2 linked regions of the Ovis aries genome follow. The protein of the gene in region 1 purifies or fractionates together with the protein of each later gene. This does not show direct contact. Links are inferred from orthologs where the notes say so. Each region holds a gene or a part of one and is shown on either strand. Other genes may lie near its edges.

Region 1 (6,447 bases):
GAGCTCCAAGTACATTAAGTTACTTTGTTATAGAGCGATTAAGTGAAAAGTGTAGGTTTGAACCCAGGCATTCTAACTCAGGCCCAATACATTTCATATCTTCCCCGCCCCCCGCCACACTCAGTGCTCTACCCTTAACCTCTGAGCTTGTTGAATGAACATTCATTTTTAGAGGTGAGCAATCGTGAAAAAAAAAAAGAGAATTGAGACAGATTTTTATTTCATCGTGTAGATTTTCAAAACTGCCAGCACAGCACAAACCTAAATAAGGCCATGTCATTCTCAAGGAAGAGAAGGAAGTTTGAGAAGGGTAATAACACTAACCAACAAACTTTAGAATTTTTAAAGCTCTTTGACATGTATCATCTTATTTTATCAATCCATAAAATATGACTCCATTTTACAGATGGGGGATCTGAGACTAGCATAACCAGCACAAGGATCCTGGGTTTTATATTTTATTTCTTCTGAGATTTTTTCCCCTCAGGTCTGATCTAATATACATGAGTAAGTTGAGAGTTTGGTAGTTCTTTAAAAGAAAAACTAGGCAATCTTTCATATTATTGCTAGTTACCTATTTATACAAGATTGCTGGCTGAGTATGGGGTCAATTTCTAGAACAAGGGGGCCACACTCAAGGATGCCATGTCTTTAGCGAACTCTACTGTAAGTGTTGGAGCTAGTGCATACCTGTCTAAAACCTGCTTTGGAAGAAAATCAACCTCTATATCTATATGTAATGCATCCAGCGGATGTTTTTATATTGTTCGAGCACCCGTTTCCTTCATCAACAGTCCAATATATTGCATGAGAGTTTAAAGAGTTCCTGATGTAGGAATCTATAGTTGAATTTTAGAGGAATTACTGAATTCCCTAAAAGTTACATGTGCCAGTGAACACACTTTTTAAATAAAATTGCATATTTTATTTTTGGAGGAGAGGGTATATAGCTTTCAACAGCTTATTCTCCCTGCCCTAAGATTAAGAACCATTATTTTTAATGGTTTAATTTAATTTTGATATTAGTCTAAAAAGCCAGACATATTACAAGGGAAATCTGTTCCCTCCATCTCATTACCACAACTGCTGTTTTCCCCTCCTCTATCATACAATACCTTAAGCAACATTAGAAGATGTTTACATTTCCACATCATTGTTGCTCTCATACTTGAGAGGTGCCTGGAGGAAAATATACATAACACAGTGATGCATTGTGGATTTTATAATGGACTTGACTTCCCAGTCCCATAAGTGTTTTAATTGTCATTATTTAAAACCTCATGTGTTGCCTAAACTAACAGCCACTGAAAGTATAGTCAAGTATTATGGGTCTTCAAGAGGAGTCAAGTAGGAATTGAAATATAACTTTTAAAACAGAGCTGGGTTATCTAGCAGACAGATTAAACATTAACTTTTCATTAAATATGTCGGTCACTGGAAGATGTCCATCATTGTTTCAGTGATTAAGGTTTTCTTGCCTGCCCTTTTATATGTAATATTGATAATTCTACCTAAACCATTTCCTTCTCTGTCTCCTAGATTGCAAGAAAATCTTCAAAATGGATGTTAAGAGCTAACAGGCATGAGCTTAGGATGTGTGATACTGTTCTAAATGCTTATGTGTGTATCAATTCATTTAAAACTCAAAACAGTCCTAGGAAGTAGGGACACCTCTTATTCCCCCCTCCATTTTATAACTAAGAAAAGTGTAAGGTTTTTCTAACAGGAAGGAAAGGTGGACAGAAGTGGCACCAAGACAGTGTGTGAGCCTGCTTTCTGAATCATCTCCGAATGCAGCCCTGTCCCTAGAGCAATGAGCATGTTTTCTGGTGTAGGAGAAATTATTGAGAACAGAGCCTACTAAGCCCAAGGATACCCTTGCCACTTTCCTATCTGCGTACAGGTAGAAATCTCCACCATCCCTTTTAAATTGACCTCATCTGCTCGGAGCCAGCCCGTATACTGGGCACTAGTACCAGGCATTGTGCAAGCCTAGGAAACGCTCTCCCCCGACATCCGTTTTACATGTGTGTGGAGGGAGGGAGGCACAGCCTGGCGCGTGAGCCAGTTCTCCAGAAGGGACGTTTGAGCTAGAATTTCTGGCATAATCGAGCCAGCGCTCGAAAACCTGGTGCTGAGCGTTGGAGGGGGAGTGTATCCTCTCCAAGAAGGAAAGCCTCATGGTGGAATGGCTGATACCTATCCTGGGCGCTCGGGGCCAGGACAAGCTGGCTGTTTCTTCTGATTAAAAGAGGAAGCAATAACTTTGCCTATGACTCCAAACACACTGGTTCGAACTTGGCAGTTAGGAATCCTATGCAGTTGTCTCACGCCACTCAGGGTGTATACGCGAGGAATTTTCACTTGGCTGGAGTGAACTCGCTCGGAGCCGCGCGTGCGCCTCTGATGGGGGTGGGGGCGCGCTGCGCGCGGACGCGGGGCGGGGGGCGGGGAGGAGGTCCCAGGGCGCCCTCCTTTCGCGGTCCCGTCGCGCTACCGGAGCGGACAGCTTCCGGCCGGTGCCTCGGGTCGCGTGGGCGGCAGACCTGTGACCGAGGAGGCCCGGCGGGGGCTACTTCATAGACGTCTTGTTCGTTAGGAGCAAAGGGCGCCTCCTGGAAGAGCGCGTGGAGGGCGCTCCCCGGGTGGAAAGACTCCTCGGGAGGAGTCGAGGGGCCGAGTCTGGGGGCCGCTTCCGCCAGCCCCGTAGGAGGAAAGAGGAGGGGCGGGCTGCTCAGGAGCAGCCTGGGCGGGCCGCCCGCGCTCGACGCAGGCGGGAGGAAGGGAGGGAGCGAGGGGCGAGCTTTGGGGAGCAGCATGGAGACCTCGGCTGACTTGCTGGCCGCCGCCGCCGCGCGGGGCCGGGCTGACGAGGTACGGGCACTGCTCGAGGCTGGAGCGTTGGCCAACGCGCCGAACCGTTACGGTCGAAGCGCGATTCAGGTGGGTCAGCAGGTCTGCCGCGGAAAGGTGGGCGGCTGGGTGGGTGGGTGGATGGCGAGAGGCTTTGGAGGACGAGGTCCGCCAGTGAGTCGGAACCAGGTAAGCGTTTCTTGGTAAAGGGGAGACTTTTCAGACCGAGTTCGGGATCGGAGACCTCTCGGCGACTCTCAGGGGGCTCAGGACGGCCGCGGAGCTGGCTGAGAAGGCGCGTGGGGTTCAGATCTCTAAAACGGTGTGAAGATCTAGAAGGGAGAACCTACGTGTGTTAATATAGACCGATATGCGAAATTGACGAACGTCTGGAGTACGAGTATAAAGACAGTAAGACATGCTGGACCACTTACTCCCGAACTTATAAAATTGTGAATGGAGCTGATCGACTTCTTTGTTGGGGGGGGAGGGGCGGTGAGAGGGAGATTTCAGTGGAAATCTACTGCTGTGTAAGTTGGAATAAAGGTCGATTGAAATTATTCAGAAGCAACCATATATCGTGTTTATTATTTTTTTTTAACCGAGTAAGGAACATATATGCTTGTTTAGGAAATAGACATACATGAAAAAAAAAATTAGTGCAATTATGCCTGAAATAATGCTGCCAATTTAGTTACCACTTGAGTGTCTCTTACCTTTTGGGGTATTTTAAACTTACTTGGTATACATTAATTTCCTGGGAAGTTTTCAGTTCCTCATAGTTTAAAAAATGTCATTTCTCCTCTCCCCACTCCAGTTTTGTATGTGTGAGGATGAGTTGTGAGTTCGTTTTTCTGTGTGTGTGTGTGTGTGTGTGTGTGTGTGTGTTTTGCCTTCACTAACTTCCTAAATCTGGGGCTAAAAATAAATTCTTCCTGGCAGTCACTCCAGTTTTATTCCAGGTTTCGACAACGATTTCTGATTCTGAAAAATAATATTTATATGAAATGTACACTGCAAAAACTCCAGCATAACAAGACAAAGGAAAAGTAACTCAACCTGGAACTTAACAAGTGATTTCACAAGCGAATCGTCCTTTCCTCAAACTATGCTACATAGAACAGATATATTTTATATACTTTTAGATACAAAAATAAAAATAAAATATCCTCAAATCTGAGATTATTTGGGATTTGAAATGTGGAGAGATTTGGAGATTAAAAGGTTGAATGGTTGTAGAAGAGAAGCATGAGTTCTTTTTTTAAAAAATGCATGCATGATTCATAATTGGATATCTCTAAAGTTTTGCCAGCAGTTTGCAGACTGGGTGTTACAGCCTTCTAGTTCTGAAAGATGTTATATTAGACTTTATTGTTTAAATACAAAAAGAAAGATAATTAATTTTAAATTATTTTTAAATAGGATAAGGGCATCGACAAAAGGGATATGATTTTAGTTTTGAACCCTAACCAAATTTGTGTTTAAAAATACTTAGTTTATAGAAAAATTTTAATGACTAAATTAAATTTATATCTTCAGTTTGACTTAAGTACCCTAGAAATATTCATTTGAATGATTTTCTTTTTGCTTTGGATTGCTACTATGATTTAAATATTATGTTACTTTTCATACTTTAATACTGTAGCATATAATAATACCTTTAACCAATTTAATGACTAAGACCAAGGACTTCATTTATCCAACCCATGTAATATATTTTCACCTGCATTATATACAAGCATGGAAGGAGACATACATATATATATATGAGCTCTGGCACTTATAGTAGAGTTTCCAAAAGATTATGGTGTCCTTGGGTGTGGCCCCTTTGTTTTGGAAATTAATTCATAATCCATGAGAAATCCAATAGTGTAAATTTCCCCAGTTTTTATTTTAAAAAATTCTTTCTTCTAATGCACTGTTAGTTTTCCTTTTTGTAGCTGCAAGTTGGTTCACTTAAATTTTCTCTGTGGTTTTTTTTTTTTTTTTAATTAAATCAGTTTCACTTTCTCTAGGATAGAACTCAACAAGCATAGTATAACTTGTTAAGATTCCTTGGTTTGAACAAATTAATTCAAGTTTAATACAGAACTCAACTAAAAATAAATAATTCCTCAATATAGTGTAGCTAATGTAACCAAATAATGGTTACCCTAAAAAAGAATGTTCTATCACCTCCACCCAATGTATAACACTCAAATTGCAAAGTTGCTGTGATTGTGAACAATATTTCAAAATTCCTCTTTGGTAATGCTCTTGTATCATCAAAGATTATTTAGGAACCAAATGAAGTGAGCACCTCCTCTTTAATGAAGTCTGAGTGTGATCTTGGAAGGTGTCTTCCTATTTCTGCTATAACAAATTACCACAAATTTAGTATCAACATAAATTTATTATCTTATGGTTCTGTAAATCAGAATTCTAAAATGGGTCCACAAGGTTGCATTCCCTTTGGGAGTTCTAAGGAAGAATCCATTTCCTTGCCTCTCCCAACATTTAGTGACAGTCAACATTCCTTGGCTCTTGGCCCCTGCATTTTCTCTCTGACCTCTGCTTCCATTCTTATATCTTCTCTGACTGTGATCTTTTTATAAGGAAACTTGTCATTAAATTGTGCCCACCCTGACAATACAGGTTAATTGCCCGCAAAATCCTTAATTTAATCATATCCACAAAGTCCCTTTTTTCACATAAGGTAGTATGTTAACAGCTTTTGAGTATCAGGAAATGGACATCTTTGGGGAACATTATTTAGCTTACCAGAAGAAGGAATTTTAGGACTGGTTAGACAAACTTTTTCATTTTATACTTCAAGAAATTGAAGTTTAACGTTCAGGGAAATCAAGGGTAGCTTAACGTTTTACAAGAATTAAGTTTTTTTTTTTTTCATTTTTACTTTTAAACAATTACCATGTTCTGGGCTTGGACATACAGCAGTGAACCATACAAAGTCTCTGGGCCTTGCATAATTTCATATCAAAATAAAATACAGGAGATTAGGCTGTAGTAGAAGTCAGTTTGTTCCTCACCCTTTTGCTGTTATCTATGACTCTGGTAGTGTTCTGTTCGTGGCTGGAACCCCGCAAAATGCTGAAGAATGTAACAGTGTGTACAGAAAAAAAAAAAAAAAGGAATAGGTAGGAGAACTGGCTAAGCGAGTCGGTAACTGAAAAAAAAAAAAAGTAGTAACTAGATTCTTGCGGATCGTAAGCGCATCTGCAGGGAGTACGGGTTCTACAAGTAGTTTCTTTAATCCTGCCCCTGCCCCCAGCCGTCCTGACCACTCTGCTCTCTCTGGCAGGTGATGATGATGGGCAGCGCCCGCGTGGCGGAGCTTCTGCTGCTCCACGGCGCGGACCCCAACTGCGCGGACCCCGCCACCCTCACCCGGCCGGTGCACGACGCCGCCCGGGAGGGCTTCCTTGACACGCTGGTGGCCCTGCACCGAGCCGGGGCGCGGCTGGATGTGCGCGATGCCTGGGGTCGCCTGCCCGTGGACCTGGCCGAGGAGCGGGGCCACCGCGACGTCGCCCGGTACCTGCGCGCGGCCACGGAGAGAAGGCTGTAGCCACGCCCGCGCAGACTCCGCGGAAG
Region 2 (4,037 bases), on another chromosome or scaffold:
GTCTTTCCCGCCTGTTTTTCCCTGCACCTCGTTGCAAAGCCTGCAAAGCTTTGTACAGTCTACTCCAACCGGGAACACCACTCCCACATCTCCCTCTTTCTGCAGCTCTTCTTTTAACACTCAATTTAGGTGTTATCTTTGGGATGCCTCCTTTGACCCTCCTCCCTCCCCATCCCTGCCCTAATCACATAACACGTAGCAGGTGTTCAACACTTGTCTATTACATAAATTCAGTGAGAAGGTAATGTGCCAAAAAAGACTTTTAAACCATGATCCACGGTAAAGCGAGGCAAGTAGGGCGTTTCTAAAAAGACTCTTCTTGAGAGTCTCTTGGACTGCAAGGAGATCAAACCAGTCAATCCTAAAGGAAGTCAACCCTGACTATTCACTGGAAGGACTGATGCTGAAGCTGAAGCTCCAATACTTTGGCCACCTGATGCGAAGAGTTGACTCATTGGAAAAGACCTTGATGCTGGGAAATATTGGGGGCAGGAGGAGAAGGGGGCGACAGAGGATGAGATGGTTGGATGGCATCACCGACTCAATGGATATGAGTCTGAGCAAACTCCAGGGGATGGTTTACGACAGGGAAGCCTGGAGTGCTCCTATTCACGGGGTCGCAAAGAGTCGGATACGACTGAGCGTATCTAAACAACATCAAGTTATGGGCAGCATTATCACCATCTTCTACCCCACAAAGAACCACAATGCACTGGAATGTTTTCCTCTGGAATTGCATTTCTACTCTTGTATTCAAAATTTTTTCCCACTTATGTTCAAAATTAAAAAATGACATCATTAAAAAAATAAATAAATAAACAACATCAAGGACCTCTAGGTTCCTCAGTAGGCGCTAGGACCCTGTCGGCCGACTCGTTAATCTTTACGCAGAGGGCTCCGCGCCTGTCTGGCCGGGAGCGACTGGGATCAGCTCCAGGGCGCCGCCTGCTGGGATTCTGCAGCCTCTGCAGCCCTTTCCGGGCGCCCCAGCTCCTGCCAGGTCTTGAGCCCGCCTCGCGTCTCCCATTGGCTGGCTCCTCTTCTCCCGCCCTTCCCGGGCTCAGCCACTCGGAACCCCGGCGTGGGTGGGGCTTGAGGCCTGGGATGGAGCGCGCTTCCCGATTGGCTCTGAGGAAGGCGGTGACGTGGCCCGAGAAGACCCATCTGTGCCTAACCCGAGGCTCAGCCAGAACAGCCCTGGATTAGTGGTAGGCGGGGCGTGTCCCGGTCGGAGGCCGGAAACGGAAGTGGAGGAAAGATGCAGGTGGGGGAACAGCAGCTGGGGAAATGGGGGGCTGCCCTGGGGCCCCTGGGCTGAGTTCAGCCGGTCCTTTCCTGACATGCTTCCTCAGGCTCTCTCCGGGGGCGCCCTCCCCGGCCCGTTGTGCTGGCCCCACAGGGTGGCGGTTGGGGCGATGAAGTGAGCGCGCGAGCGGCTTGTCAGCTCGCAGCACTCACGCACCTTTCCCCGCCGTGTTTCCCGCCAGGACCATCAGCACGTGCCCATCGACATCCAGACCAGCAAGCTACTCGGTAGGAGGGGCGCCCCCGCTCACCTAGCTGTCAAGGGGAGACCTGGCCCCCTGGCCCTCTGTCACCAACAGCGGACCCGCCGACCACTCGCTCTGTTCTGTGCTCCCATCTGTGGCTGGACCTGCCTCAGTAAAAGGAGCGGGAAGGAACCATGCATAGAGTCTATACTTGACCTGTGTTTTCTATTTAAACGTATATAACATGTTGTCAGTCATGTATTTTAGGGACAGAGGAGAGTTGAAGGCTTGCCTTAAAGATGATCAGCTGCCGAATGGCAGATCTGAAGTTAGAACCTAAGTCTGTCAGGTTCCAGTATTGTATTACGCTGGAAAAAAAAACTTTCTTCCTTTTTATTTTTTCCTTTGACTTTAGGAGGAAAAGGCACGTAGGTCCAGTTGAAAAGAAAACCTTTTAATGGCCAGACCATCTCCCTGCTGTCTGTATCGCGTCTATATACCACCTCTCTAGTTCAGAGCCAGGGAAGGGCCTCTTCACTCTGACCCCTCTAGGGCAGTGCACAGCTCCTGGATTTTTAAATGGTCTTTGAATTAATTGTTTTGATGCCAGTTGTGTCATTAAGATGACATCTGTTTGACTGTGTCGTCCCTTTGCTTCCACTTCTGTGACATCTACATAATTTTTGTTTTTGGAGATTTTAGTGGAGTGCAGCAATGGGGATATAACTGATAACTAGTGTGGGCTCCCAGCATTTGACCAGTTAGCAGATTTCTTAACAAGGGCAAGGTGGCCACTTAGTGGAGCGTCTTTAACTTCATTTTGGATTTGTCCCAGCTCTTCAGGACCTGTACACTCTTGATGTATATGCTTGTTATTGGTCCTGAAAAGGACTGGTAAAAACCCAACCATTTATTGAGGGTTTATTCTATACCAAGTGCTGTTTTATGGGCTTAACATTATGAAAATGAAGACCACTACAATTCATTGAGCCCTTGCCATGCGCCAGGCATGATGTTCAGTGTTCTACCGTTTGTACTCAGTATATTTATCATGCCCATTTTACATGTAGAGAAACTGAGGCACAGAGAGGTTGAGAGACTTGCCCAAGAAAGTTGGTAATTAGAACCAGGACCAGCTGACCACAAAGTCTAGGTCTTAGCTCTCTCCTATGAGGAAATGTACATAGCTCTCATCCACCTATACCCTCAACTGAAAACAGATCTGGCCCAGAATCCAGGAGATCAGTCACACTGGTATCCATGTGTGCAGGATGGTGCTTCGCTGATAAGAGTAGACCAGTGTTATTTAGTCCTTAGGGGCTTTGCAGTTGTTCATTCATCTGGTATTTGGTGTAACCGACTTGTGTTTTTCATTGTCATGGTTAATCCCAGCCCTGAGAAAGTAGAAATTGAATGGCAGTAAGAAAGATATAATTATCCATGGAAGCAAAAATATCATGGAGAATTTAGAGTGGTCCAAAGTGTCACTTTGATGTCAGGACCAATTGAAAGCTTTCCTTTATCCTGTGTTGAGGCAGTTACTTTATAAAGTCACATTGTGGATAAAGTTAGGTTGCTGGAATCTGTTTAGCCCCAAGCATCCCTTTGAGCCTGTCTTCATTCCCATCTTCCCGTGACCCCCACACCTTAACCAATATGAGTACAACTTTTAGCCAATGCCTTAGCATATTTCACTTGAATCAGTGATGCAGTTTTGGCCATGGGAATGCTATGATTTGGGTTTCTGCTATAGACTGGCTGGTAGATAGAAGGCACTGCAACCTGAAATGGCAGAGTCTAGTATTGACCATCCGAGAGAAGATCAATGCCGCCATCCAGGACATGCCAGAGAGCCAAGAGATCGCCCAGCTGCTCTCTGGATCCTGTGAGTGCTTCGGGGCTGCATTACTGGACCCCCGTCTTTCTTGGGGTGGTATAAATCTGCTGAGCTGTTCCTCTTTCTTTAGTCATAGGACTGACCTCTAAAGAAAGAGAGGCTTTTATTTGGGGTATAGAGGCTGGTTTATTTCAACACAAAATGATGAAGGGGAGAGCTGTGCCCTCTAAAGTTACTGGCATATACATGAGTCAGCCATATGCGGAGGCTGCAGTGGTGGGTTAGAGACTATTATTTCCAAAGTCTTTGTTTTTCTTTGCTTTCCAGACATTCACTACTTCCACTGCCTAAGAATTGTGGAGCTTCTCAAAGGCACTGAAGCCTCCACAAAAAATATTTTCGGCCGGTACTCTTCACAGCGAATGAAGGCAAGTATGGGTGACGGTGGTAACGCGCAGCTGGAGGCATCCAGTCCAGGGGGTCAGAGGCTGTCTGGTCTCGCTGAGGTTCCATTGGAGATGCCCCCGTGGAATATTTTCTCAGCTTTCTCTCTGTCCCCATAGTTTATGCCAAAAGTAGATCCTGAAAGTGGAAGTATCAGTCGCTCAGTTGTGTCCAACTCCTTGTGCCCCTACGCCTGGGTTTCCATTTGCTTTAGGAATCGCTTGTTGGCACCATACTCTTAAAGTGGGTGGTCCAGCCAGCATTAT

The links. Proteins that work in one complex are often made in the same cells at the same time.
Region 2: the proteins of cyclin-dependent kinase inhibitor 2A (region 1) and CDK5RAP3 purify together in Homo sapiens (affinity purification with western blotting; 3 studies listed by BioGRID). This does not show direct contact. The link is inferred for Ovis aries from reciprocal best matches to the Homo sapiens genes CDKN2A and CDK5RAP3.

What each region holds. Positions count from the first base shown.
Region 1 is NC_056055.1:90,754,742-90,761,188, reverse strand, and holds the start of cyclin-dependent kinase inhibitor 2A, read left to right. Parts: upstream 1-2,488; 5' UTR 2,489-2,817; coding exon 2,818-2,943; intron 2,944-6,154; coding exon 6,155-6,421; 3' UTR 6,422-6,447. UniProt on the Homo sapiens protein: Acts as a negative regulator of the proliferation of normal cells by interacting strongly with CDK4 and CDK6. This inhibits their ability to interact with cyclins D and to phosphorylate the retinoblastoma protein.
Region 2 is NC_056064.1:38,227,377-38,231,413, reverse strand, and holds the start of CDK5RAP3 (CDK5 regulatory subunit-associated protein 3), read left to right. Parts: upstream 1-1,237; 5' UTR 1,238-1,258; coding exon 1,259-1,264; intron 1,265-1,487; coding exon 1,488-1,533; intron 1,534-1,905; exon of another isoform or gene 1,906-1,947; coding exon of another isoform or gene 1,948-1,969; intron 1,970-3,243; coding exon 3,244-3,375; intron 3,376-3,654; coding exon 3,655-3,755; intron 3,756-4,037. UniProt on the Homo sapiens protein: Substrate adapter of E3 ligase complexes mediating ufmylation, the covalent attachment of the ubiquitin-like modifier UFM1 to substrate proteins, and which is involved in various processes, such as ribosome recycling and reticulophagy (also called ER-phagy).